Linked DNA regions of Drosophila melanogaster. Changing the gene in region 2 together with the main gene of any one other region gives a genetic interaction. Each region holds a gene or a part of one and is shown on either strand. Other genes may lie near its edges. The genes, in order: spn-A and WRNexo.

Region 1 (3,741 bases), about 12 Mb from region 2:
CACCAACTGAACCGGCATCCGTGTCCAAGGCCTCGCTCAAGCCATCATCGTCGTCGTCATCACCGCCAGATTTGTTGTACACGGTGGGGTACTTCTGGAAACAGTCGCGCATCTTGGTGAAGGCATCGTAGCAGTCCGATCCCTTGGGATCGGCGGTGCTGTTCTGGAAGCAGGAAAATGCCTCACGGAAATCGACGCCACAGGGACCGGTGGCCATGCCGCCGAGGCAGGGACAACTCCAGTTGATCTTGCCGTCCTTGGTGATCACGCCCTCCGGCTTTTCCGGCGGCGGCAGCTCGATGGTGCTGGGCGTGGCATGGTCCTCCTTGGTCACAAAAATCACCTTGTCCTTGCCGTACTCCTTGCAGTAAGAGAATGACATCCTGATGCGGTAATGCTAGTTAAATGCTACAAACTCCTCGGGGGATTCCTCAAAATCCAAGGGCTTTCGGGATGTGCTGAGCACCTGAAAATGGCAGGGCACCTCCTGGTAGTATCCTATTAGGGCTATAGCTACGCGAACGCGATCCAGGACGTTCTCGGGCACCCGGAGAATGGAGCGTTTTTGGCTGGAACTAAATTTCACAATTTCCAGTATGGTCTGGCCACCTATTTCGCCAAAAATACTAGCCAAGGAGCTATGGATGCAGCCACAGAAGAATACGGGCGTCAGAGTCACGGAGTCTGGATCACGGAGTTTTCTGGCGATTAAAAACGTGAATTATCTTAATTATATTTGCATGATGCACGTGCGCACGTGGGAAATACGGGGCTTTAAGGAGCGGGGCTGAGTGCCCGGAACTCACATCTTCACGTCCAGATATTGGTAACCACTCATGCTTTGGGTGCAAGTGCCAGTGCCCCTCTTTTTTTGGCGGAATCTTCGGGAAAAGTCGTCCAAAAGTTGCCGGTCAGTGTGTTTTTTTTATGTAATTACTCCCCTTTTTTGCTGTTTCTTTCTGCTTCTCAAACAGCTGTGCGCCGCCAGAGATGCCAGCTCGGCTCACAACGGACATGAGTAGTTATAAAATAGCTAAAATTATAGCCATTTATTAAAACATTTAAATTGTTATTGGAACTACTTAAATGCAATTTTATTAAAATGGTTACAAGTTTATGGGGTTTTTCCGCTTTTTAATCTCATTTAGTAGCCATCACAGAAATCATTTCAGTTCGTTGTGAATGACAAAAAAATCAGATCACAGTAAAATCAGTTAGGATTCAAATTCAAATTCTTCATGACGGTTATAATGTATATTACACTGAGTATTACAATTCGCTAGTCCTAATCATCGGACACAACCGCGACAGTCTTTTCAATGCTCTTCTCAAAGTCCAGCGATGATTTGGATGTTTCCAAGATCTCAAAATGACAGGGTATCTGCTGGTAGTGACCGATGAGCTCAATGGATATGCGGGTCATGTCGTGCAGTTGCTCTGGCACTCGAAAGATAACACGATGTTGCTGGGCGCAGAACTTCACGATCTCCAGTGTGGGTTTCTCCTCGCAGAAGAAACTGTCCAGGGCGTCAAGAACGCAGCTTCGAAACAGAGATGGGGTCAAAGCAACTGCAGTCGGATCCCGAAGTTTACTATTAAATAAATGAATATATTTACTGAATTTAATAACAACCAAGTTTATATTAATGACCGCAGAACATCATTCTACTCACAGTTTGATGTCGAAATAGTAATAGTTCGCCATGGTGATCTTGCGCGTTCCTTTTAAGCGGGATCCTCTGTAGTGATAGAGTTTTGTGCGTTCGGGGCGATTGGCAAACTGATTTTGCAGTGAATTGCGCGCCGCGCAGTCTTTGTCGAAATTCTCTCACGCAAGACGTGCAATTTAAATAACGAAACTCGAAACAACAAATAGTCAAATTTAACTTCGAAACTGTCAAATGGAGAAGCTAACGAATGTTCAGGCACAGCAGGAAGAGGAGGAGGAAGAAGGTCCACTCAGCGTGACTAAGTTAATAGTGAGTAGGCTGCGATCTCGACCAGGATTATTATGGGCATTCCCTACGATATCCTCCTCCTAGGGCGGCAGCATCACGGCCAAGGACATCAAGCTGCTCCAGCAGGCCAGTCTGCACACCGTGGAGTCGGTGGCCAATGCCACCAAGAAGCAACTGATGGCCATTCCCGGCTTGGGCGGCGGCAAGGTGGAGCAGATCATCACGGAGGCTAACAAACTGGTGCCTCTGGGCTTCCTTAGTGCTCGCACCTTCTATCAAATGCGTGCCGATGTCGTGCAGCTGAGCACGGGCTCCAAGGAGCTGGATAAACTGCTGGGCGGCGGCATTGAGACGGGATCCATTACCGAGATCTTTGGCGAGTTCCGCTGCGGAAAGACCCAATTGTGCCACACTCTGGCAGTAACCTGCCAGCTGCCCATCAGCCAGAAGGGCGGCGAGGGCAAGTGCATGTACATCGACACGGAGAACACCTTCCGTCCGGAGCGTTTGGCTGCCATCGCGCAAAGGTACAAACTGAATGAATCCGAGGTGCTGGACAATGTGGCCTTCACCCGTGCCCACAACTCAGATCAGCAGACCAAGCTCATCCAGATGGCGGCGGGCATGCTCTTTGAGTCCAGATACGCTTTGCTGATTGTGGACAGTGCCATGGCGCTCTACAGATCCGATTATATTGGTCGCGGGGAGCTGGCCGCCAGGCAAAACCATTTGGGCTTATTTCTGCGCATGCTTCAACGCCTGGCCGATGAGTTCGGAGTGGCTGTGGTAATTACTAACCAGGTTACTGCCTCGCTGGACGGCGCACCCGGCATGTTTGATGCCAAGAAGCCCATTGGCGGGCACATCATGGCCCACTCCTCAACCACGCGGCTGTATCTGCGCAAGGGTAAAGGCGAAACCCGCATCTGCAAGATCTACGACTCGCCCTGTTTGCCGGAATCGGAGGCCATGTTCGCCATTCTGCCGGATGGAATAGGAGACGCCAGGGAGAGCTAATTGTGCTCACTTATAGGTTAATTAATGCTAGGAATAGAGCTCCCTAACTTTCTAATGATTACTTATCCCTAGACTAAGAATTAAACTTCGTAGATTGTTTTTTTTTTTGTTTTAATGTTTACTTAGAATGTTTAGGATAACGACGAAATAAAACAGCCGTTGCGAATTGTATGTACCATCTATATTTAATTCAATATTATTCAAATCATCTACAAACTTAGAAAATATTTAGGGGTTTCGAAGCAAAAACCTTTTTTTTAGTCTGGTAATAAGCGGATGCAGCAGGAAAAGCCCCATCAGCGCAGCGTAACACGACATGCACCTGGCAGGCAAACAGAATTAAGGAATTTAGCTGAATTTTTAACCTAGAATTAAGCATAGCCCACTTGGCTCATCAAAACTTTGTCATCCAAAGCACGGTCTTTAAGTTGCCTGGTTTGTAACGCTTACGAGTAACTGCAAGAAAGAGGATTCTTGAAGATGTGTTTCAACTCAGCGGTTTGCGGTTTCCCATCCTACCTTATCATGTAATTGGTCCAGCAGAACTGGTCCTCGATCATTTACTGTGGAGCCGATCCGGCTGAAGCGGCGGCCTCCTTGGCCAAAACCAGGCTATTATATCCGCGCTCGTTCATCCCGACGCGAAGGTTTTCGTTGATATTTTTCGTATAGGTCTTGTAGATTTTTACCTTTTCGCAGAAGTCGATCCAAAAGTTGTCCTCGCTCTCGGGCTCCGGATTGAAGAGACTCTTGAAGCCATCGTATA
Region 2 (4,319 bases):
AGGCGAGCCGTTAGCGGAACTCCAAGCACCTTCAACAGCGACGGTTGCGAGTATCAAATCAATGTGTCGCGTTCCCGCTGCTCTAATGATAAGATTAAGTAAGTAACTTATAATACTTATACACTCTATTACATATAATTACATCTGCATAGCTATAAAAACCTTGGGCGCAAAAGCTTTAGCTTTACGAATCCCCAAGTGCGCGAGATCGAGCGCCAGAATCAGATTCTTTTGCGCAAGATGATGACTGTGAAGCCCACGGCGACGATCAAGGCTAGCACCAGTAGCATAAAGATCAATGGGCCCGAGAAGGTGAGTACATAATATAGAACTTATGTCCAATATTAAACCTCTTCCTTAACAATGTCATACAGCGACAGACACCTCCAGCGCCACGACTGTCCAGCGCAGCTGTGAACCGGAAGAAGAATCAGCGCCAGATCGACCTGGACAACGATCTGCTCAAGCGGAAACTGGAGGCCATCGGCACACGGCGACCGCAATTCAAGTGACGCCTCCACAGGCAGCTCCAACTGTGTTCATTAAGTAATTAAAAGTGTTTATGCGAATTTACAAAATTAAAATTTATTGCAAGTTGAAAAGTGTAAAAAGCTGTATAATCTTAATATAATTTTAAGGGAATTTATAAACCAACTAGAATTCATGCAAAAATGTATAGTACTAGTAAAATTTCGTTCCGATCAAAGTCAATGCATCAAAATGTGTTTATAATTTGTACATTTAGGTATAAACAATTCTATAAATGTTATCGTAATCAATAATCGAATTGGATAGCAATATTAAATTTAACAATTATTTTGCAGCACGTTGGTAACAAATTAAACTAAGAAAAACTCCCGAAAATAAATGAAAGAAGGCGAAAATATTTAAACAGGTAAAAGGAATTAGATGGCATATCTGAAACTTCAAAGAAAAGCTTACAGAGTCACCTCGTTGATCTTGGTCAGAAATGTCTCTCCCAATGCTTTCATTGCTTTAAAGGCAGCATCTCCGTTCTTTTCCTTGAACTCTTCTTCATTTTTAATCTTGACCTTCTCGCGGCGTTCCAATTCACGATAGATAACCTGACCAATCTGAAAAGAAAACTAAGATTGAACGAAATTGTATGGAAAAGTGAATATCAACTTACATAGACATCGATGGCGGCGTACATTAGTTGATTCTCGTCCAGCGGAATGACATGCCACTTGCTCATGCGCACCTTCTTGCTTTTGTCCATGGCCTTCTTGGCTATAAAGTTGGTTAATCGCTCCAAGCTCCAGCGCCCGCCGGTCTCACAGACCTCATTGCACCAAAGACCCAAGTCCACGCATTTCTCTATCAGTGGTTCGGCTGTAACCTCGGGGAAATCACGTGCCAGCTTTCGGAAATCGCTGGAAAATAACAGATTTTATTTATCCAAATGGATTTTTCCTTTGTATAACTAACTTCTTTATGTTCACGCCATGCAATCGCACTTTGGGATGATTGATAAGGGCCACCAGGGCCGCAGGCAGTTTCTTCACATTAGTCAGCTGGTATATGTAGCAGCACTTTTCATCCACGCATATCTGGATGACGGCAGACTTGCCAGGTCCTGTTTGGAAAGAGAAGGGCCACTCCATGTCGAAGGCCATGGGCACTACCTCATCTTTTTGTTTTTCCACCCATTGCCTAAGTTTTGATTTTTAATGCACATTATTAACAAGCAGGAATAAGTTATAGAGTTAACTTACAAAACATCGTCAGCAGATGCCGCAATATCCTGGCTCTCCGTGAAATACTTTATAGCACCCTTGTATTTAATAAAGGGAAGCTTTTCGGGCTTTTCCTTCTCCGGTGATGGAGACCCATCCTCTGCCATTGAACGAGTGCTTCTGGTCAGCCTGGAACTCCGGCGCTTGGGCGGATTTTCTTCCTCCATCGCTAACTTCTCAGTCTTCTATAAAGTTGTTAATGCTTCGTCCCAATATAAACTTAATATATAAATTGTTGCTTACCACATCTGGAGTATCCAGATTTTTTCGCTTGGCAGCCGGTCTACCGGGTCTTCCTTTCGTTTGCTTTGGCGTATTATCATCTCCAGCATTTTCTTTATCTTTCAACTGCAAGATTTATTCGGTTGAAATAGTATACATAGTCATTATTGCTTCCGATTTACAGAAACCGATTCTTAGTTTTGAAAAAAGCAGTAGCAGTATTTTAAATAATAAATTCTAAATAATAAACAAATGCAAACCTCTTTTGGAGTATCCTTTTTTGTTGCTTTCCTTGCCACTTTGGGAGTCTCCTTTTTGACGCCCGCCTCCTACAAATACTTTTAAGTTAGTTTTTATCCCTGCACGAAATTGTGTATTAGCCTACTTCCTTGGGAACTTCATTTGCTTTTGATTTGATGGGCATTTTTGTTAAATATTTTTCCATAACCCGCGTTGCTTGTTCGTTTTCTTAAATGCTTTGTTTACTATTATTTCCCGCCAAAAATATGGAGGGGTAGGCGCACATAAACACCACAGTACGAAAAAATACTGTGACAATCGATAAGTGCCTTGATGAGTTATGAAGGAACGGTAGAATTTGGAACAAGGAAATGTTTTTTATTTATTTATATTATTGTTATTTCAAGGTGAATTCGATAAACTAAAAATGCAATTTTTTTAAGAAAAGAAAGATATAACTATCTATGTGCGAAATAAGTTTATAGGACTCAAGAAAGTATATATAATATGCTATTGAAAAATTGGCGCCCCACATTTTGGGGGACATCTCCACTCGCAGAGCCTGTGCAAGCTTGACCACCTTAAAGGATATTTCAGGAAAATTTCATAATAGAATTACCAATCGTTTTTGAGATAAGCTCATTAAGTACCATAATATAGATCCACATAACAATTTTTCTGCTTTTGTTTCCAGCCCTGCCCAATTTATAGATACCAGATTAAGTTTCCCGCTAAGATATGTTGCGATCTTCTTGCTCTGGTCACACTTAACTCGAAAGCCGCATTATTTTGTTTACATCGCGAATCCTCTGCTAAATCCAACGAAAAGATGTCCATTGCAAACGTTTCCACGCACTACATATCCGAGAAGGTGTCCCAAGTGCGCTGGCTTCCGGAGGAACTGCAGCAGAGCGAACGGTTCGTTACTGGAAGCTGGGACATGGACCAGAACTTCGTGCGCCTCTGGCGGCTACAATCGAACCAATATGTCACCGCCACGGATTCGGAAGTGGACCAGATACCTCGCTGCATGGACAAGGTGAGAATGGAGGACGATGTGACCGCCATGGAGTTCGTCGACAAGGACACGCTGGCTGTGAGCTGTGCCGATGGTCAGTTACAAGTTCCAGCAATCATGAACTCAGCTAAATAAATGTCTATTTTAATACCAAACAAGGTCATCTCAGCGTGTTTAACGTCCATCGAGCCGTGGAGGAGGATCAGATGCAACGTACGTCCCGATCGGGACGTCTGCACTGCTTCCAACGTAGCCAGGAGCCCGCTCCTTGCACCGACCTTTCTGTTTACGGCACGGATATCGCCACCGCCGGCGAGGATGGGTGTGTAAGCATCGTCTCCGTGGAAAATGTGCGCCAGGTGAAGCGACAGATTGAGGCGGACAGCATGGCGCTGTTTTCCATTTGCTATATCAGCCAGCAGGAACTGGTGACTGCCAATAGGATGGGTGTTATCCGAATGCTGGACGCCCGAGTGGCCACTGAAGCGCAGCCGAAGACCACCTTTATGGTGGCCTCCCAGGATGACAAGTCGAACTTTGTCTCGTCCCTTGCCAAGCATCCGATGCAGCAACATATTTTACTTTGCGGCAGCGAAGAGGGTTCCATAACCGTCTGGGATATGCGAAACCTCAGTTATCCCGCCTCCTATCTCAGCGCTCACAAAAGTCCCATCAACGAGATAGGCTTCCATCAAAAGGATCCCAGCAAACTGTTCACCGCCGCAGAAGGTGGCGAGGTGTGGATGTGGTCAGAGAACAAAGTTCTCGGGTGCGACTATAACAAAGACGGACACAGCCCCTGGTTGTCTGGCGATCGTGTTCGCTCCCTGGTCGATGTGGAGGGAGTGCTGAGTAATGTTCGCAAGTCCATCAACTCCTTCGATGTGCATGGAAGTCGTCTGGTCTGCGGAGGCGACACAGAAGCCGTTTACCTAGTTGATAATATTGTTTAAATGTCAAGCCTTTTGAATTCCTTACCTAAATTATATAATATTTCAATTGTTGAAATCAATTAGTTACTGTATTTAATTTTCGTATATTTATTATTTTCTTTATATACTCCAAAATTGGCTTAGATCAAA

Evidence for each region.
Region 1: of WRNexo (region 2) and spn-A, changing one enhances a phenotype caused by changing the other (phenotypic enhancement), as found in Drosophila melanogaster (one study listed by BioGRID).

Annotation. Positions count from the first base shown.
Region 1 is NT_033777.3:30,054,100-30,057,840, reverse strand, and holds spn-A (spindle A), read left to right. Parts: upstream 1-1,803; 5' UTR 1,804-1,901; coding exon 1,902-1,979; exon of another isoform or gene 1,980-2,042; coding exon 2,043-2,975; 3' UTR 2,976-3,145; downstream 3,146-3,741. Other genes in the region: CG7950 (uncharacterized protein), read right to left, coding at 1-382; Rpp14a (ribonuclease P/MRP subunit p14 a), read right to left, coding at 398-701, 807-838; Rpp14b (ribonuclease P/MRP subunit p14 b), read right to left, coding at 1,286-1,592, 1,674-1,705; Jasper (JIL-1 anchoring and stabilizing protein), read right to left, coding at 3,536-3,741. UniProt on the Drosophila melanogaster protein: Plays an important role in homologous strand exchange, a key step in DNA repair through homologous recombination (HR). Binds to single and double-stranded DNA and exhibits DNA-dependent ATPase activity. Underwinds duplex DNA.
Region 2 is NT_033777.3:18,363,672-18,367,990, forward strand, and holds WRNexo (WRN exonuclease), read right to left. Parts: upstream 2,492-4,319; 5' UTR 2,425-2,491; coding exon 2,365-2,424; intron 2,309-2,364; coding exon 2,240-2,308; intron 2,106-2,239; coding exon 2,001-2,105; intron 1,943-2,000; coding exon 1,737-1,942; intron 1,675-1,736; coding exon 1,450-1,674; intron 1,395-1,449; coding exon 1,151-1,394; intron 1,095-1,150; coding exon 939-1,094; 3' UTR 573-938; downstream 1-572. Other genes in the region: hmw (hemingway), read left to right, coding at 1-98, 153-312, 375-512; Nup43 (nucleoporin 43kD), read left to right, coding at 3,049-3,331, 3,397-4,190. UniProt on the Drosophila melanogaster protein: Has exonuclease activity on both single-stranded and duplex templates bearing overhangs, but not blunt ended duplex DNA, and cleaves in a 3'-5' direction. Essential for the formation of DNA replication focal centers.